2 linked regions of the Alligator mississippiensis genome follow. The protein of the gene in region 1 purifies or fractionates together with the protein of each later gene. This does not show direct contact. Links are inferred from orthologs where the notes say so. Each region holds a gene or a part of one and is shown in the gene's direction. Other genes may lie near its edges.

What was found. Proteins that work in one complex are often made in the same cells at the same time.
Region 2: the proteins of ANKRD17 (region 1) and HOXB6 purify together in Homo sapiens (co-immunoprecipitation; 3 studies listed by BioGRID and IntAct, with this or other methods). This does not show direct contact. The link is inferred for Alligator mississippiensis from reciprocal best matches to the Homo sapiens genes ANKRD17 and HOXB6.

What each region holds. Positions count from the first base shown.
Region 1 is NC_081825.1:166,098,414-166,108,754, forward strand, and holds the start of ANKRD17 (ankyrin repeat domain-containing protein 17), read left to right. Parts: upstream 1-6,130; 5' UTR 6,131-6,228; coding exon 6,229-6,531; intron 6,532-10,341.
Region 2 is NC_081827.1:168,183,937-168,194,109, reverse strand, and holds HOXB6 (homeobox protein Hox-B6), read left to right. Parts: upstream 1-6,323; 5' UTR 6,324-6,683; coding exon 6,684-7,095; intron 7,096-8,563; coding exon 8,564-8,823; 3' UTR 8,824-8,825; exon of another isoform or gene 8,826-9,272; 3' UTR 9,273-9,429; downstream 9,430-10,173. UniProt on the Homo sapiens protein: Sequence-specific transcription factor which is part of a developmental regulatory system that provides cells with specific positional identities on the anterior-posterior axis.

The sequences.
Region 1 (10,341 bases):
TGGAAAATTAATACATTTGTTGTAATTTTCCAGGTGCAGAATCTAGTTATCAGAGTTTTATCTTTAATTCATTCCCCTCCCACTACTACAGCAGGGAAAATAATAGCTGGGATGGTCCAGTAGCCCCCTTGCCCTCTGCCCCCCACCCCCCGCCCGCCCTGCATACGCACTTTTTCCCCATCACCTTCCTGCCACCGCTTACTGTCAGACCCTGCCCAGGCTCTTAGTCCCCCCCAAGCACAAGTGGAAGGGAGCTGCATGTGACAGTAAGGGGGGGAAGTGACAGAGAGGAGGACAGAAACTGCAGTGGGGAACAGGAGACTGCTGTGAGTCTGTCTCTGGCCCCAACAAGAATCAGAGCTACATTTCAACACACGTACTCCATAAACACATTGGTGAGCTTTGAACTAATCTGCACAAAACTGTTCAAAATTTGTGAATCAGTATGGGATGCAGACAAGAGCTGCAAAAGAGGGGTGTTGTTATTTTTTAGATAAAAAAATCAAGGTCTGGGTCAGGGAATAGGAGACTGTATTTCCAGTGGGGGGGTGCGGGGGTCATAGAGGAAAAAGCATGGGCAATTTGGAAGGGGGTGTTCAACAAAAGCATACAGAAGCAGCACTGGGACTTCAGTTGGCTGCTAGCACGTCTATTATACCAGTTTGGGCACTCTATACCAGTATATTTGGGGGCTGTGTAGAGCAGCCGAATGCCCTAGACAAACATGTAATTGGGAAGAAAGCATATGGCATGTGATGTAGGAATGTGAGTTTGCCAGAATGGTCTGGGGAAAGGCAGAGAAACTCCTACAGAGGCTGGATGCTCAGAGTCAACTCATGCTAGAAGTGATTCTATGCAGAGTGTGGGCTGTGGCTCAGAGGAAGGATGGAGGAATAGTATGGAAAACTGTAGTGAGCTTTTGCACAGCATTGTAAAAGGGAAGAAACTTACTAGTCTTGCAACAACTGGAACTCTTGGTAGAAGACACCTTGTATTTGGGCTTGAGTTAACTGGGATGCTATTGCTGGTAGGACAAAAGAGAGCTAGGTAAAGAGCAGGTGAGGGGTTTATGGAAAAGAGAAGAATAGAGATACCTAGTAGATCTAGGATGAAAAGATGATGAGGCCTTAGAGGTGGCTGAACTATAGCTGCAGGCCAGAAGTTGGCTAGGAAAGACATGATAGGGGCTAAGACAAGATAGATAGGGCACTTATACATGTGATGGGGGTTTAGTCTTCTATGCTCCCTAAATTGAAATGGTGGGTTGGAACCATTCTATATATGGTATAGAATCTATATCTTCTATATATATATATATATCTATCACCCATATATGGGTGATAGATGAGCTTGGAAGGTAACAGGGAATAATGTGGTATTAAGAAACAAAAGTGTCCATGTCCCTGGATTAATAGAAATTTGGGGAAGGAGAGAATCATTGTATAATGTATAAATGTTCTGTGGTTTTGGTCGATCTTATTTGTTGAAGTTTGTTTTAAGTTTCGATATGTTATTGTTTTGTTGGCCTGTGATTGATGTAGTTTTTTTTTGTAACACACTGCAAGCTGGTGGAAGCAGGTTTTTAAGTTTTTGATACTTTCATAATTAAAAAAAAAGAAAAGAAAAACGGTTCCCATCGTTGTGTTTGCCCAATGTGGGCCAGGTGTTTTATGGGTATGCTCAGCATGGGCTGCATTTAGCCAACTTTATAGTTGGTTTCCATGACTAAGCACATGCTGCTCCTAGCAGCAGTTTAATGCTAACCAATGTATTTAATGGCAGGGATGGGGTTTTCTGGGATGTGATCAGGAGATGAAGGAGTTTTTCCCCCATGCTGATTGGGGGAAAAAAACCTAATTTTCTATTTGATTAAATATGATAAAAATACTCTAAAAATAATTACAATATCTTTTGGGGAAATTAATTTTGGTTTATAAATTATAAAACAAGATTAGTGCACCATAACAAGTTTAATAATGTATCCAAATGTTCTCCTGTTTATTTCATTGACCTGTACTGAGAGTCATGTGCTTCTCTTTCAGCAGTTTGCTACCAGTGGCAGAAAAGACAGTTTGCAGGAGTTAGGAAGCCTCTCTAAAGACTACCCACATTTGTTTTATCACTGCTGAATTCTCAGGGTTTGGTAAAAGTGAGGCAGAGAGGGGAACAACAAAAGGAATTTAGTGTCAACCACCTCCACAGAGAAGGGAAATACAAGTAGCCAGCTCCACAGTAATGGATGAAACAAGAGTGGATCTTATTTATAAAGGCTTCCAGTACAGCGCTAGGGCTACAGATATCATCAAAGTGTCAGAACCTATCATAAGGAAGCTGGAGAAGTGGCCAAACTGGCAACTCCACTTTTACCATTAATGTTGGTACCTTTCACTTTTAGCTCTTACTGGAGCTTGATCAATATGAAAGGAATTATATGGCATGGTTGCTTGCAGGTACAGGGTGCTGGACTTGAGCCAGGAGGCCTTTTCCAGTTCTGTGTTCCTAACTGAACATTTCAGAAAAATATTTGTCAAAGCTAAGCATCAGAATTTGGCTGAATGCACATTCAAAGCTGATCTTAGTGGAACTTGAGAAGGCTTACTTCTACTTCTGTGTTAATCCTTGAGTCAATTGTGTCAATAGGCCACAGCTTGCTGGAAAGGGAAAGGAGTGTAGCTTTTCTCCTTGAGGACGCCTACAAGTGAAAAGCCTGCTATAAGCTCTATTTGAATCCCAATGGGCAATTTTGGCCCATGAACTTCAATGGACAATTTTTAGGTTTGCTCCACTAAGTCCCTTGCCAAGTAGAATTATTATGTTTGTTATCTAAAGTAGGGATGCTTAGCTTGTGAGTGGCTGGGCTCATGCCGTGCTGCCAGCACCCCCACCACTGGCCCTGCCATACAGATGCCCCCACTTCCTTGCTGCAGGCTCCCTAAGCCACATGGGCCATACTGCCCCACCTCCAGAGTTGGGGGCAGGAAGCTGAAGCCAGAGAAGGGAGGGGGAGCCTGGAGACCCCAGCAGAATCAACAGCTGGAGCTGAGGAGGGAAGTGATGCCTCTGTGGGAGCAGGTAGACTGTCATTTAACCCCTTGCAGGTTGCAGGTGGCCCATAAGCCATTATTTGGATAGCTCTAATCTAAAGGTTTCACTCAGGCACACCTTGTGTATGTTGATAATACTGTCCAGGTCACCTTTCTGGACTGATTGTCTTTTGAATGATAAACTTGTGTGTTTCAAAAGCAATCAATTTATGGAGTCAGCCTCAGGCTGTCAGACTGAGAAATTACTTATGTTTATGTACCATGCATATCTTCTGGTGGTGATTATTATAATAAAAATAATAATGCTTAGTTCACGTCTAGTACTATTAATCTGTAGATCTCAAAGTACTCAGCAAGAGAGGATGAGATCATTTTTCCCACAGATCTGCACTCAAGTATCCTAGAGAGTTGATTATGGTCTTTGTCATTCAAATCTGTTCATCTTAAACATTGCTGGTTTTGAGGCTATAGAACATTTAGTTTATTACTTTTGGGTCACACAAACTCTTGACAGTTTTGGTGGTACTTAATAATTTAGCTTATTGTTAATTTTTCAGATCTCATGCCTAAAAATTAAATCAAAAAGTCTAGTCTATTATAAATCAGAGAATAAGAATTAAAGCTACCTAATTGCCTACCTTTCATCACCCACCAATTTTAGGAATATTATTGTAACATTCTAATAGCGATGTAGTGGTTCAGGTACTTGTGCTCCTAGTATCCACCATTTATCACTGTGTGGGGTAGAGAAGGAATACGACTATTTGCGTTGGAACTTTTCATGCTTGCTTGCATCACAGATGATAATCTTTTGGAAAATGTGCTGGGATTGACCCCCTTTCCCCTGGGGAAGCTGGGGAGGGCCCAGGTTGGCAGCATGGATAAGCCTTCCAAGTCCAGGCTACACAAACGTGGTGGGAGGTGTAGGGGGCCCACCGCTTTGCCTGGGCCCCACTGGTAAGAAGGCCCCACTTGACCCCTGTGAGGGCCTGGTACTGCCCTCCCCGTCCCTGTGATAGCAGGATCAGAATCCTGGCACAGGAGAGCTCTGCAGCCCCAGCTCCATCCATAGACCCAGCACCTGCCCATGAGAATGAGGGGAAGCTGCAGCTCCGCAGTGCCCCGTAGAGGCTCAGCTGCTCCTGCCACCCCTTGCCTGCAGCTTCCCCTGTCATTGGCCAGGGCAGCACAGAGAGAACAGTGAGGACATAAGGGGTTGGAGCCAGTAAATGGTGTAAATGCAGTTGTGGTTTAACCACTTACATGCCTACTAAAAATGATTGCTGGCTACAATCAGATTGTCCTAATTTTTTTTAAGTATCTTCCCTGTTGCTGAGTGAAAGACCCATGGTAAAAAGAAAAAGAGCAAACTTACTAATGTCCCATTTATTTAATAATACATGAGTAAGCCCTCATTTATATCCATTATCAAAGACTTATGGTTAGTGCAGGAGCCCAATGGCATGTTTCTTGTTGAAGGATGAGTAGAGGCCTGTTTAGCTGTGCCTGTCTGAAGTCAGGCATAAGTCAGGGCAGGGTAGCACCTTTCAGACTGACTAGTTTGGAGAGGCATAAGCTTTCATAGGCAACAGCATCTGTTGCCTTGTGATAAAGTAGGCTGTCACCTACAAAAGCTCATGCCTTGCCTAACCAGTTAGTTTCCAAGGTGCCACCCTGCCCTACTTTCTCACTGAAGAATAGCTTAACTCTGCAGGGGAAATAGTGAAACTGCCTCTTGATGGTAGTGTATGCTGAAGTGGGGAGGTGCAGATTTTTTGGGGGGGGGGGGAAATGAGCTAATAATGTATCACATCTCTAATATAAATAATGTAACAAAAAGCACAACTGAAGGGGCATCTGTAACATTTTTTTTACATTTCTTAATTTCGAGTAAGAATGTGACACTGCAAACAGCATGGTCTCCCCAGGGATCTGTGTTGGGACTAGTGCCATTTAACATATTAATAAATGGTCTAGAAAAGGGGTGAATAGTGAGGTGGCCAAATTCGCAGATGAAACAACATTATTTCAAGCAGTAAAGACCAAGGCAGACTGTGAGGAACTACAAAAGAATCTAGCACTATTGAAGAAATGGGCAAGTATGTGGCAGATGAGATTCAATACAAGTTAAGTGCAAAGTGATGCAAAAATAACCCAGACTAAACTATGACGGGTTCTACATTAGCTATTACCACACAGGAAAGAGATCTGGACAGTTTGCTAAAAACAGCAGCGCAGTGTTCCACAGCCATCAAAAAGGCAAACAAAACGTTAGGAATTATTAAGAATAGGATTGTAAGAAAGCAGAAAGTCTCATTACATCACTTTATAAATGCATCTCGAATACTGTTTTGGCCCCTTCATCTCAAAAAGGATAGAGAAGTAGAGGTGCAGAGAGAGGCAGCAAGAATGACTAGTGGGATGGAGAAGCTTTCATGTAAGGGGAGTAAAGAGGCTGGGCCTATGCAGCTTAGAAGAGAGACACCTGAGGGGGGACACAATAGGGGTATTTTACAAAATAATGATGCTGAAGAGAAAGCCTCTGGATCAGAACTGCCTAGGCCTGAAGTGCTGGAGGCTGCACGTGGGAAAGCAACAGAGGAAAAACCCTGGCCGTACCCAGGTCACACTCCCTTTCAACATCCACACGCTGCCCTTGACACAGGGCAAGGTGGACCCAGGGTCAGCCCCGGGTGGGAGCCAGGTGCGGCGGGCGTCCTGCGCCCCGGGGCTGCCTGCAGGGTCCAGACGAGAACCGAGGGCAGCCCCAGGGCGGGGGCTCCGCGCCCAGGCTTCCCCAGGGGCAGCTAGAGCAGTCTCGCAGCACCCAGAGCCAGGGGCGGCCGCGCAACCGCGGCTTCCGTTTCCCAACAGGGCGAGGACAAAGCGAAGGACCCCCGCGCCACCCCACTTCAAACAGTGCTCCTGCCCGGGAGGATGAAGCTTGAGAAGCAGCACACGCTGGCTAAGGCTGATGACATCACACCGCTTCCGGCGCCGGCAGGCAGCGCGCAGGCGCGGAAGGTGTGTCCGGAGGACGCAGGGGGAGGGGCGGGGGCAGGCGGGAGCGGCGCCGGCGTTACCGGGCCCGTGACGGCGGCGCTGGCTACAAGTCTCGCGAGAGGCGGCGCCGGCGCTAGAGGTGACCGAGCGCGGCCGCAGCTGCCCTACGCGCACAGCAGCTATGGACCCGGCGGCCGGGGCCGGGGCGAGCGGGAGCCCCGCGGCCGGGCCGGGCCCCCCCGAGGCACGGCCCTCGCCGCCGCCGTCCTCCTCGGCTTCGCCCTCGCCCTGCCCGGCGGGGGCGCGCGGGCTGGCGCGCGTCTGTGACCTGCTGCTGAAAAAGAAGCCGCCCAAGGCGAAGCGCGGCCGCAGCTGCCGGCCGCCCAGCAGCAGCGAGAGCGGCGGCGGCGGCAGCGAAAGCAGCAATAACGGCAGCGACGACGAGGACGAGGACGACGACGAGGAGGACGAGGAGGTCTCCGAGGTATCGGGGTGGCAGGTGCCTGCGGGGGGCGGGCGGCGGCGCTCTGGGCCGGGCCGGGGCCCCGTGACCCCGCCGGCTTGGCCCGCGCTTCCCGCGTGGCGGCGCGGAGCGGGCGGCGGGGCCGGGGCAGGGGTAGGGGCAGCGTCTTCGGCGGGCGAAGGTCCCACGGTCGCTGCTCTGGGCAGAGAGAGGCCGCGGGCTCTTCTGGACCCGGCGCCGGGGCCGCAAAGGAAGGAGGCGCCGCCGAGCTCGGCATCCTCTCCGCGGGAGGCAGCGGCCGCCTGGGACACAGCCCGGCTCCGGCCACCCACGCGCCTTGGAGCCAGAGTCTTCGTGGCCTGGAGGCTGCCCTTGCCCGGCCTCAGGCCCCCCTCAGAACGCCAGCTCCCATTTCTCACCCGTTTTTTTCGAGCCGCTTGGTCTGTTGCCAAGTCCCCGGGGGCGTTTAATATCCTGCTGGTTCCTATTTGGCATCTCCAAGTTTACCTTGTGACTCGGGCTGTGTGCATCAGCAGGGTAACCTCAGTGTGGCAGTCCCGCAGCACCCGGGAAGGGATCAGGTATGCTGTGGCACCCGGGTTTGGCCCAGATGTCCTGGTCTAAAAATGCCAGCATGTTTCATGGGGAGAGTGTAAGAGCACTGTTGTTTCTCTGGTACTGTCTCATGGGAGAAAGGGTTGATCTCCTCTTGATTGTCTGTTTGTGTTTTGAAATATGTGAATTGATAGCTTTGTAGGTTAGTTCTTTGACATAAAGACCAATGAAGTTTTTGTCTGCTGAAATAAGTAGTTTTTTCTGAATGCAATTACATTTATCTTTCCTCGCGTATCCTGCAGCAGTGGAATCAATGAAGTAATTACATATAATGTCAGGTTTTATAATAGATTTAATATTTTTATTTATTTTAACCGTGTTTAAATTTAATATTGGGCCTTCTCTGGTAGGTAAATTAATACTGGAATGCCCATTTCCTATTTGGTTTTACATTCACTCATGGTTATTTTCCTAAGTAGCTTTGTGTCTTTTCTCTTACTAAATTTCATGCTTGCTTCTCCATCTTAAGGACCATTCTTAATATAAGTTACTTAGGTCTGTAAACTTTTATTTATTTATTTTTTTTTTTTGAAGGAATGAAACAGAGTTTATTATTAATAGCAGATAAGAGGCTTGCTTTATCCATATTTTGAGATCTCTTGATGATAAAGATGAGCTCAGAGTATTCACAACCCAAAGAATTTGAGGTCAGTGTGAAATTTAGTTTTACATGAAATACGTGTAGCCAGGCTTGGATGTATGTGCTTTAGCGGCTAAGACACGTTTTGCATAATATTTTTAAAGCAGCTGACAGACCCCTAAACAAGGCGTTTCATCAGGAGATGTCATTGTACTAAACATGTCATACATAATAGGTGTACTTTAAAGTTCTTGTTTGTTTGAGAGATGGTTGGGTTTATTAGTGTTTCTCATTTTAAGTATAGTGAATATCTTAAATGAGAGGAATCTTTCAAAACATGTAAATCTGTTAGTATGTTTACATGTATGGTGAGATGCAATACACACATTTGAAAACTAGAAAAAACTTTGGCTAAAAAACCAACTACTACCAAGAGAAGCCTACTAAAATAAGTGAGAGATGGATATCTCAGTTTAAAGTTGAATATCTTAAATAATGCTATCTGGTAGAGGTGCACTGATGCAGCAATTCAATATGGGATCGGCACTGATATAAAGAAAATCGACTGTATCAGAAATCGGCCTGATATGGCTGATAATTTGGCTGATAAATGGCCCATGCACGCATGCAGTCGTACCGCAGCATGTAGGTGGCGAGGAGCACAGCCTGGCAGCTTGGAGAGCTGCATCCAGCTGGTAAGTGTTGTGTTGGAAAGGGAGGGAAGGGGCCATGGGGGTGCTGATCAAGGCTTGGGGTGGGTGGCAGTGCTAGTAAGGGACTGAGGGGACTAGGGTGGATTTTCAGGTGGCCGCAGCCTCCCCCTCCTGTAGCCCCCTTGCAGTGCTGCCGCCTGTCCCGAGCTCAGCTTGGCCCAGCCCCTTGGAAGGAAGAGTCCCGCTCAGCACCAGCCCCAGCCTGCAAAGGCAGCCTGCCGCACCCCATCCCACCCCACCCTACCCCACACAGATCTGGGGGCAAATGCCCCTCCCCCGATGCCCTTTGGGGTGCACGCAGCGGTGGGAGGAGCCCCCTGGATGAGCTGCAGCTTCAGCCCATGCCTGCCCCAGCCCCACTCCCTCCCTCACTGCAGGGGGCCTTGATCTGCCCCCCTCTTCTTCCCTTCCCTTCCATCACAACAGACTTACCAGCTGGACTTGGCTCTTCGAGCTGCAGGCCTGCATATCAGAAGTCAGATTGGTATCGGCCAATATGCCTCCTTAAAATGGCTATCAGTATCAGCCCACAAATTCTCTGTTGGTGCACCCCTACTATTGGGGGCAAAAACCTTGCAGTATCTAGTGTGACACAGGCCCGTAGTTTGAGTATTGGTGATATGATATGCATTTATAGTCCCGTTCTCTTTATGATACCCCTTTCCAACCCCACCCCTTCTATATGCATGTACACACATTAAGAATTTACATTTTTTGTGGATGAAACCTTGTGTACATTAAAGAATAGCCTATAGTAAATACATTGTAGCTTCTGGTGAAAATATTCAAATGGGAAAAAATCATATCTACAGCTTGCAGAGTCTATATACAAGTTAGACTGTTAGAATACTCTTAATAGCTGGGAGAATAGAAACTAGTTATGAGACTGAAGAGTAGCTACACAACTGCTTAATCACATACAGTAAAAACCATTTTTCCCATAACTCGTGCTTTTATCTCATGATTTGAGGATATCTTCTTTTACACATTAATTAGAAAAATATTTATTATGACTTAAAGATGAATGCTAGATCTCATAATGGGGTGTGGTTTTGGGGTTTTGCCTTAAACGGATGAAAGCACAAAAAAGAATGGTAGATGGAGAACAGGTGAGGGTGAGGTGAAAAGATGCTGTTTTGGGGTTTGGGAGGGGGTTAGAACAAAGGGCAACCTCCCTCACCCCTCCTTCACCTCCACCACCCAGAAATAATTCCTGTTTGGGGAGAAGAGCAGGGTAGAGTTATTGGGACAAAGTAATGATTAATGGCATCTGCTCATCAGTGAGTGATGATAGATATTGCAGCTATTCTACTGACTCATGGTACATTTTCTCTTTGCAGTTGTAGAGACTGATGTTAGACTTTCAGGTCCTGCTACAGTTGTCACAGGTGTAAGTAGCAAAGATGGAGTATCTTCTCCATTCAGTTTTGGCTGCAGTGGCGTGGGCAGTTGAGATAGATATATGGGCAACTGAAGCGCCTCTTTGTCCCCTTCTCAGCCTAGCTGGTTGATCCCAAAGGACAGGCAGAAGCCAGTACATTTGGAGTCAGCTTGGCTGCAGGAGTTGCCGGTATGAAGATCTTCAAGCTGCTCACCTTTCGGGGCTCCGCTCCTAGACTGTTTGCCAACCAACACTGGGGAGCTCAGTCTACCCTACCATGGCTTCTGCCTTTTGGTGGCATTTCCTCCACTACTGGTAAGGACTAATACCCCCTTTGACATTGCTCCTCTGCCTGAAGCCATTGGCACCATAGAGGCTGCTAGGTTATTTCCTGCTGCTCATGCAGCCATGAAGACAATGAAAATACAGCAAAAGCCAAACACCTGTAGGTACAGTAAGTTATGTTGGCATTCTTTTTGTTTGGAAAGAATCCAGTGCAGAGCAGCAAAAGTGATTGGGGTCCTGGGAAATATGACTTATGA
Region 2 (10,173 bases), on another chromosome or scaffold:
TCCTCCCCCTAGTCTCCCCCCACCCCCCAAAAAAAGATAGAAAGAAAGAAAGGGAGGGTGGGAGGGGGGAAGGAAGAAAGAGAAAGGGAAAACACTCAGGGAGGTTGGGAGATGAAGCTAAAGATAAAATCTATTTACGTGAGATTTTTCTCTAGGAAGTGCATGGAATAAGAAGAGAGTAAAAGAGAGGAAGAAAAGGAGAAAATAAGATACAGAATTTCTGTATCTGTAAGTCAGTCAAGTCACCTGGCTAGAGTAGATGTCTTGGTTGGAATCAAGCATAATGGAGCACCTCGGTGATGGTAGCTTTTAGAGATTGCTTAAAAAAAAGATACCAAGCCCTGTGTGGATTGTTGTCGTGCTTTATTTTCCCTCCCTAGCAGTATTATCTCGCCAGTTCGCCTGTCTCCAGGCGAGCCCAGTAATTTGGAAGCCAGTTGGGTTTTGTGGTGCTCTCCAGGGTCGTCCTTATGTGGGTGGTTTCTTCGTAGGGGGCAAATCGCTGCACTCCTGGTGAATAAGGGTCTGGAAATTAGAAAATAATATCATCAGAATAATCCGAATAAAAGCAACAAAGAGCTGCAGCGCTACGAGGAGAAATTTTCTCTCCCCCCCCACCCCATTTCCCCACCTCCAGTGAAACTCCCCAGTGCAAGATGACGTTGTAATGAAATTAAACGGGTTTGCATTGAATCGCGTGCTGAAGGGCTTCTAATACCTGTCTACGGATTATTATTTAAAACCACCTTCCCATCTTCCTTTTTCCCAAACTGGCCACCGGATTATGAGAAATTATGTCTCTTCGGTTCCTTCCAGTTGCATATCTTCTCAGCCACCCGAAAGACTTGCTTTGGTTTTAAGAAAATAGTAGTCCAGAAATGCACGTCATTTCGAAGGGGGCTATCTTTTCCTCCCACCGCCTTCTAGATCTCAGCACTTAAAAAAATAGGCACGCTGCTCTGGTTCCCTGGTGCTTTGTAAATAACCTGGTGTCTGAGGCTTGTGCATGTAAAAAGAGATTGATTCAAGAACAAACATCTCCATTAGTTAACCATTAAAATTTTTATAACAGGATGATCTATATCGGCTCGCTTGACTCTCCCTATTTTGTGGTCCAGAGTAAATTATAGCCAGGGTGGAAATAATAAACAGAGATTAATTTCTAAAAGATATTTCTTGCTGGGGCTGTTATACTGTCATATATAACAGAGCATTTAATGCTGGTTTGAAGTTCCTTTCCTTTTTTTTTCCCCTTTCTTGGAAGTCTATTGGTGTTTGGAAGATCTGTGGCTGTTCTTGAAAGGGGGTGTGTGCGCGGAAATGATGCTGTTCTTCATTTCAGTGTCCCCATTCCTAAATGTATTTGTGTTGATGCTATAAGATCTCCTGTGCCAAACCACTTGTAGAACCCAAAAGATAAATGTCATAGCAAGTAAGTCTTTTTAATCACTTTAACCCGGGCACCATTTAATGTTTGATTGTCTAGGAAATCTAAATGTTTTCGCGAGAACATAGATAAGTTGCTAATTAAGGAATTCCTATATTTTAAACATCACCTAGTTGTTTATTTTTCAAAACGGAAAGGTCTATTTCTCTTTATGTCTCGCCCCATTATATATTGCTCTCCGGCTTACTCAGCTCCATTCCATACTATCTGCTGCCATCTACCGTCTGATGCCAGAAAACTTCAGAGGATTTAAAGGGTTTGCGGTGATTAATATCCCCTGAAACTCGTGCACAAGTCTAGGATTTCGGTTTTCCGCTTTTATTTTTCAAGTCACTGATTATTCTTGGGTTGCACGGTTGTGTGTGTCGTGGACAAGGAGCAAAAGGGGCAGGGGAGGGGAACTGTCATTCATCCATGAACCAGATCTCAAAGACATTTCCACGCTGAGGCCTGCTGCAATGGTGTGAATTTTAAGATATATATGTATCTGATTATGTACACATAAATCTGGAGGGAGTGCTATCTGCCTGCCTGCCTACCTGTCTGTCTGTCTGTCTGTCTGTCCAAGTCCCATAGAACTACATGGACTACAAGAAAAAAGCAAGCTGGTTGTTTCCTAAGAGTGAATCGGTCCAGGAGTCTTGTAAAATGCAATAAGTAATTACGTGAGATGAAAATTTAAGGCAGTTAATCATAACACGAAGGAATCTTTATTTACGGCTCGGAGTGATCATTTTGGAGGGGTCTGGAGAAGATATGTCAATTCGTGTACACAACGGCGAGGCGGTTGCTGGGATGGGGAGCAGAGAGGAAAGGCAGACGACGACTCCCTTTTAAGTTACAGTAGCTTAAAGGGACAATGCAAGTCTGTTATTTTTAAAAGGTTTCTCTCTCTCTCTCGTTTTCTTCTACTACCCCACAGTTTCCTGGCAACTGTTTACGTCTAGACCAATGACATTCTCCTATAAGAAAGTGAGATGCCGAGAGACTATGCTAAAAAAAAAGTTTCTGCTTTTGGCTAGCAACAGCCGTGATTAACTTGTTCCATTTTGTAACTCCTAACACCCCATCGCCTTCTCCATTCAACCTGCATGCTCCGGGCTTTGATATTTCCCTCTCCCTCTCTGATTGCTTATTTTCAGTTCTCCTAGCCAGATTACTTTCCTTTAGCGGAAATAAGGTAATATAGATACATTTTTACTACCCCAATCTCCTGCCCCCAACCCCTTTCTCGTTTTTTGTTTTTGGTTTTTTTGTTGTTTTTTTTTGTTAATTATTAGCTGCACTCTTTAATGGAACAATGGTAGATTAATATTGCTCCTTTTCAAAGATCCCATTAAAAAGGTTATTATGCACTGCACGGGAAGTCAGGTAAATTAAACTTAAATTGCTGGAAATTAAGTTTCAAATGGTTATGTGCTGATGGAGAAAGAATATTTTTTTACACCTTGAGGGGTCATTGTTTGAAATGTGCCAACATTGTGGCGGCAAACATGACTTATGCCGTGTTTCTAATACCAATTTGAGTGGCTATTTATATTGCAGACGATCTTCTCCACTGATAATAGCTTTATATGCCTAAATACAGTAAAGAGGCTTTTCAAGTGTTTTCTTAGTGTTCGTTGGACTTTATGACTGCAATAAGTCTCTTGATTGGGAAGATCCCGCCGCGATTTCACTTCAGAAGCCTAGCGAATTGCAACCCCACATTTAAAGCCCTTTTTTTTTGGAACCAACTGCACTTAACTTTCCACTAAGTTCTGAACTGGTTTAGCTTTTCCGCCAGCAGGGCTCTGATCTGTTTGGCTTTGGAAATATTTCGGGGTTGTTTTAATCCCCTAATTTATCTGTGGAGTTGGAGAGCAGGAGTGAGAAATGTGTGACCAAAAAAAAAAAAAAATACAACCTTCTCCCAACCCGAATGTACATATTGTAAATACGTCTCTTTTTTCTTTATTTATACCCTGCCAACAGAATTATGTCAATCAGCAGGAAATGGGGAGGGGGGGAAGGATTCTCTTTTAAATTAAACATTTTTCTCCCTCCTCCTGCTGTCTAGCCACTACACCACTTAACGGCTTGCTTTTTAATAAACCCTGGGATTATTTTGTAAGCAAATGCGGCCCAGAAATCAATGGGACTATCCTAAGAAATATGGTTGGAAACCACATAGTTCAGGGCATAGACACTGCAAGCTGTATCAGCGCCTGAGAGGTTTAGATTTGTCGCTACTCATGCCTGGCTGCCTTTAAAGACATAAAGAGACCAAACCTTTTCACCCTCCCTCCCCCAATGATTTACCTTCAAAATTTAGCCAGTAACCCAAGACAGGGAAAGGGTGGAGGTGTTGGGATGGAGGGAGTGGGGATTTAGGATAACTTTTTAAAAATAGCTATTAACATAATAGCAGTGATCAGTTTTCTGTCAGGCACACAACTCCCTGTCATCGGATGCGTTTCTGAGTATCTGCTGCAAACAAGCAGCTTGTAACTGGTAAACAAATGCTATTGTCCTTCTCAATCTAATGACGAGGAACACTTGAAGAACCATATTTCCCCCCCCCAAAGCGGAGCCAAAGATCAATACGTTTTCACCCAATTTTCTCCCCTTTATCGTTCCCCCCATAAATATCTCTAGACTTAAGTGGAGCCACCTTTGCAAACCCAGAGGGCTCCAGCCTCATTCCCAGACAGTCTCAACCACCAGCAATAAGCAATTAGCGAGAGGCCAGTTGCAGTTAGTGGATTTTATTTTTGTTCCTGCCAATAAAAATAAAAAGGTCAAAGTGACCACAGTCCAACGCTGCGAAAAGTCAGGCTTCGCCAACACCGCTCTGGAAGGAGCTGTATTTCTTATAAGCGCAGCATCCCCGCGTTTTGGGAAAACACATTTTTTCCACTTATTTCCAGGGGCTATTACTTTCCACAACAAGAATCCTCACTCAGAAAGCATTACAGGGGAAAAAAAAAAAAAAAACCTAGGGTTTTTGTTGCATGAACACAAATGTGTCTGTTACTCACTCGTTTCATTATATCAGGCATTCAAACTTCTCACCCAAAATCTGCATGCGGTGCGAGTCATCGTAGGTTTTCTCGGGTTTTTTTTTTTTTTTACTCTTACACAAATATTGCGCAACTTTCTAATCAAATGTCTGAGCTCTTTGGCTCCTGCGAAGCAGCCAACTTCAGGCTGCTTAATGTATTCCTCTCACTCTCTTTCTCTCTTCCCCTCCTCTCACCCCCCCCCTTCAATAGACAGTCAACTTTCTCTTTTAATCCCATATTCCCCCTCTTTTTCATGCCAATAAAGCAGACCTACGTAGGTTTGGGTCCACTCCATACACAAAGGAAAACTCTGCAAGAACAAATATAATAGCTACCAGTCAGAAAAGGGGAGGGCGAACAACTACTTCCTTTACATGTTATTTCCTTGAATTATAAGGATTACGGTCAGTCGACGGCTAGTTGCAGCGGTGGCATGAAACAATCTTGGCTTTGCTGCTGTAAACACGATGTTTAAAATAAATTAGCTCGTAATAAGATACCAGTTTCAGACGTACTTAACCCCCGTCAGGGAGAGTTCTGCAGTGACCATGTAATTATGTGTAATTCTAGAGTAGTAGCAGACCCAATCAAGACTATGGGAGTCTATATTAGAAGTCGAGTTAATTTCTTTGCATAGAAGAGAAGAGAAGAGAAGAGAAGAGAAGAGAAGAGAAGAGAAGAGAAGAGAAGAGAATAGAGAGAAGGAAGGAAGGAGTTTCTGTAACTCAAACCGATCAATGTTTCATTTAATTGTTTAGTGAGTTTCTGTAGAGCAGGGTTACATTTCCACAGCCCCAGAGGTAGGGCAACATATTAAAATCCACATATACCTCAAGTGTACAGAAATCTGAAGAGCAGTGCAATAGCCACTGCGAACCCCACCTACTGCTAATGAATAAAAGCGAACCTTAGAGCCACGGATCCCAGAGCCCGCTCCGCTCAGGGGGTCTTTCCCCCCACTTTCAGAATGACAGCGACTTTCGCTTGCCTTCTGTAAGACACTTCACTTGATTCCTCATTACCGTCCATGAAGAGAAGTTCCAGTCGTGGGGACCGACCTCGATGGAAAGCATGATCAAAGATAAAAGCGGGATCGTGCCTCACTTTACAGTCAATAGACCCACCAAACAAGAGCGTCCCCTGCTTTAAAAAAAAAAAAAAATCTCCATCGGTGACAATCAATAAAGGACAGCTCTTGACCGTAACCCAGCGCAGCCTTTAACTAGGAAGGGCCGGGCACGGATTTGGTATTAAGCCTAAAACGCAAGAGGGCACAATTCGGTGCACAGATCTGGAGCTAGCGGACTATTTAGCCCGGGATAATCGGGCTACTTCGATTCCCATTCATCTCCCAGCCTGGCAACTCTGGTACAGAATAAATGAAAAGCGGAGAATTTGAGGAGGCGGGCGCGTGCTACTTTCAAAGGAAACACGCTCTCTGCCAATCTATGCTAATTAGATAAATATGAAAAATAAATGACCAAAATTAACTCCCCCCAGCACACACCGGCGCCCGCCAAACCTCCCACCCTAACCCTAAGCGAAGGAAACAGATGAGATCCACTCCCCGCAGGCATTCATTACACACATAAAGAAATAAAAGTTTCTTTACAAATCCCAGAAATGTCCCCCGATCTGTTATAGATCATTGGCAGGCGCCAGGGGTTAAACTTTGTCAGAACAGAGAGGATTAACTTTCTTTTTCCCGCCCAGACAGGATATTTACATATATATCTATATTGCTCTCTGCGTGTGTGGGGGTGTGTGTGTGTGGGAGGGTGTGTGGCTTATATACATATTAGCTTCTATATATATATATAGTATACATACATATATATGTATGTGTGTATTAAAGCGCCAGCCGTTCCGGGATTTATTTTTTGCGGATATGTGTTTGGTTAAGGGGGTGCATTTCTGTTGTTTAAAAGGGAGGAAAAAAAAGGGGCCGGCTGGTTTGTTCTGGGGTCCCTCGTGGAATCCAAGCCCCTCATGGGTGCTATTTTGCAATCTCAGGCTCCTGCTATTGGTCAGTCCATGATCAGATGGTTCTATTTCCTTGTGTCCCTTCACTGGCACCCAGCCATCCCCCTTCAGCTAAAACCCAATCTCCGATATACTACTAATAGCTAAACCACTTGGACTATAAAACACAACAAATCATAACGCCAGGGAAGGACGGCTGCCTCCTCCCAATGAGTTCTTATTTTGTCAACTCTACCTTCCCGGTGAGCCTGGCCGCTGGGCAGGAGCCCTTCTTGGGACAGATCCCGTTATATTCCTCAGGATATGCGGATCCTTTAAGACACTACCCCGCTACCTATGGAGCTACTGGAGTCCAGGAGAAGGGCTATCCCTCCTCTTCTTATTACCAGCAAGCTAACGGAGCTTACAGCCGGACCACAGCCTGTGACTATGGGACAGCTGGTTTTTACAGGGAGAAGGACCCTGCCTGTGCCATCTCCAGCCTGGAGGACCAGGGGCAGTTTGGCCAGGATCAGCGGAAGTCAGACTGCGCTCAGAGCAAAAATGTGTTCGGGGAGAGTGAGGAACAGAAGTGCTCCACGCCCGTCTACCCCTGGATGCAGAGGATGAACTCCTGCAACAGTGAGTTACTCTTCTCTCTCTCTCTCTTTTTAATTTCTCCTCCCCCTTTTCATATTTGCACGCACACACACACACGCACACACACGCACAGAATCAGGAAAACCTGAACAGGACACTAACTTCCAGCGGACCAGGCAAGCAACACGCGAGACTCAATAAAGTTGCTCGTGACACACACACACACACACACACACACACACACACAAACTTTATGCTGCCCGAGTCTTTATCCCCCCTACCCCCCTTTCTCTTCTCTCTTCCTTTCCCCCAACTCTTTCACTAGATCTTTAACCAGAAATAAAATGCCCAACTTTGGGCCGTATCTAGCCATGCCTGGTTCCCCCCCCCGCACCCCCCCTTTTTTTGCGCTCCAGTTTTTATGTCACTCCGTTAAAAGGATTTCTTTCTCTCTCTCTCTCGGTGTTGAGAGAGAGAGAGTGAGGGAAAGATCTCTTCACAATCAAATCCGGATGACTTTACACGCGCACGCACACACACACACACACACACACACACACACACGAGCGCGCGCGCGCGCGCACGCAAGCACGCGCACACATACACACACATCTATCTTGCTAGCTAGCCGGGAGGGGGTTCAGTAATATAAAAGTGTTTAAATATTTGAAAAGAGAGGACTACATTTTTAATGCAACTCACACATAATAAAAAGTCTGCCTGAGGAGGAATTCTTCCCTGTGATGTATGGCTTGTTTAAGTGCCATCTCTTCCATCAAAAAAGTAAATACAGAAATAAATAAATAAATGCACACATATGTACGGGGCACTCGCCCCCACACCCTGCACCATCGCTCCCCTACTCCCCCTTCACCGTGTTTAGATGCATTATTTCTTGCCTTTTAAGTTCCAAATTGATGTCCATTAGTGCAGGGACATAAAGTGTTGTATCCTCTTTAATGCACAGAGTTTGCCTAGATCGATACACTTCATTATTGCTTAAATGCTCAGCTCTATTACTGTTGCCTGTAAGGTGGAAAAATAGAAGTGGTAGGGCTCGGGGGGTGTTTGGGGGTGGAGGGGCACCTTGCGATTTTCCATAATGCAATAAGCGACAGTAGCAATCTCCTCGGAGCAGCGCACTGGAATATCAGGCAACTTCTGCATTAACCCTTCAGGGGTTGTGTTTGCCTCAGAGCAGAGCAGCAGGGAGAGCTTTGCCGCAACGCAAAGGGCTCTTTCCCAGGCCAGCTAGTCACTCTGGAGCCTTTGCTTTGCAAAGGGGCATTCTCATGTCGCCGGAGCATTTCTTTCCCCTCTCGTTAGAAGGAGAGGGAGAGCAGAGGAAGTCCAAAGCACCCGCACCCCTTTCCCTGCCCATACCCCTTAGCTGAGGGCTAAGCGGCCAGATCCCTGGCATTGTTATGCATATCTCCCACTCCAATAAACGCCTGTGTTTTCTTCCCCCCACCCCCCCACCCAAACCCCCCAACCTTTCCCTGTGTAACAGGTTCATCCTTCGGGCCCAGCGGCAGGAGAGGCCGGCAGACCTACACCCGCTACCAGACCCTGGAGCTGGAGAAGGAGTTTCACTTCAACCGCTACTTGACCAGGCGCCGCCGGATCGAAATCGCACACGCACTTTGCCTGACAGAACGACAGATCAAAATCTGGTTCCAGAACCGGAGGATGAAATGGAAAAAAGAGAACAAACTGCTCAACTCTTCGCAGCTGAGCGCGGAGGAGGAGGAGGAGAAAGCGACGGAGTGAAAGTATTATTTAAAAAGAAAAAAAAAGGAGGGAGGGAGAGAGAAAGAAAGAGAGAAGATCAGGGAAGGTGGAGGGGACAGAGCTGAACTGTAAAATAGCGGAGACAGTTGGAAGATTCTGAGCCCTGGGACTCCTGTTTCAATAATCTGTCACAATGAGGCTTCTTAGCTGAGTTTTTCCCCCCTTCCTTTCTATTCCTCCTTCCAAAAAAAAAAAAAAGACTCTTACCTGTGTTTCTCCCCTTTGGTGTCCCTGTTAGTAACTGCTAACTCTTGTATTTAATGGAGGTGATGCAATATATGTCATTTTTGGTGTTTATTGTCTTAATTTTGTAAAAATGTTTCATGCACGATTGACTTACAGATTTTTTTTCTGTTTTTTTTTTCTTTTGGTAAATTAATCAAGCCCTGGGGTCTTTGTAATTAGTTTCTTTCTTTTTTTTTTAAAAGAGAGAAAACCCTACTGAAGGAACGAGTACTACCTAAAAGAATGCAAAAGCAACAACAAAAAAAGTTCTATTTTATTAATTTTTTGTACGTGTTGTGTTTGTAGCTTGTCTTAGGTATGTACATGGAATATTCTAATAAAAACAAATATTCGATCTCATGCCCCACCACCTTGGTATTATTTTCTCTCCCTCTTTCTATGGAAATATGCCAGCCCTGGGAGTCTCCGGGCTGGGAAGCAAAAGCAATGCAGTTCGCTGTGTGTGACACTGGCTTCTAATCTGCAAGGACAGGCAACTCTAAGCACACGGAAGTTACAGTTGGGAGATAAATCTGGTTTTCCCCGTTTTTGTCTAATCTTAAATGAAAGACCTTTCACCGACATTATCTCCTCGCTGACATTCTGCTTCAATATCGCTCTTTTTTATTGTTACAGTACAAAGAGTTATGACGAAAAGCTCTCCATATACATAATAAATCAAGGAAACAGGCAAAAATTATGCTCTCATCTACCCACCAAAGATACCTAACATTTGTCTAGCATATTTCAAACATCTGTTCCCTTATTTCATTTTCCAAAATCAGAGAGAGAGAGAGGTCGGGCTGATTTCAGGGTTTGGGGTTGTTTTTATTTTTAGTGTTTGATTTCCACCCCACCACCCAGTTGAATCCAATACCTTCTAACTTTTTCCCTACCAGATTATGGGAATTCTTTAAGCAAAACATAAAGACAGAGCCAGCTAAAGCTAGCTTGAGCCTTTGAAATAGGAATTCTTTTGCTGAGAGTCTTACAACTGGCTCTTTTTAAAGTACCGACTCGCCTTGAATGGGACGGGGCAGGTTTATGATCTGTACTAAGAAGCCTAGGGGCAAATTATATCAGCCTGAAGGAAAATTCTCTTTG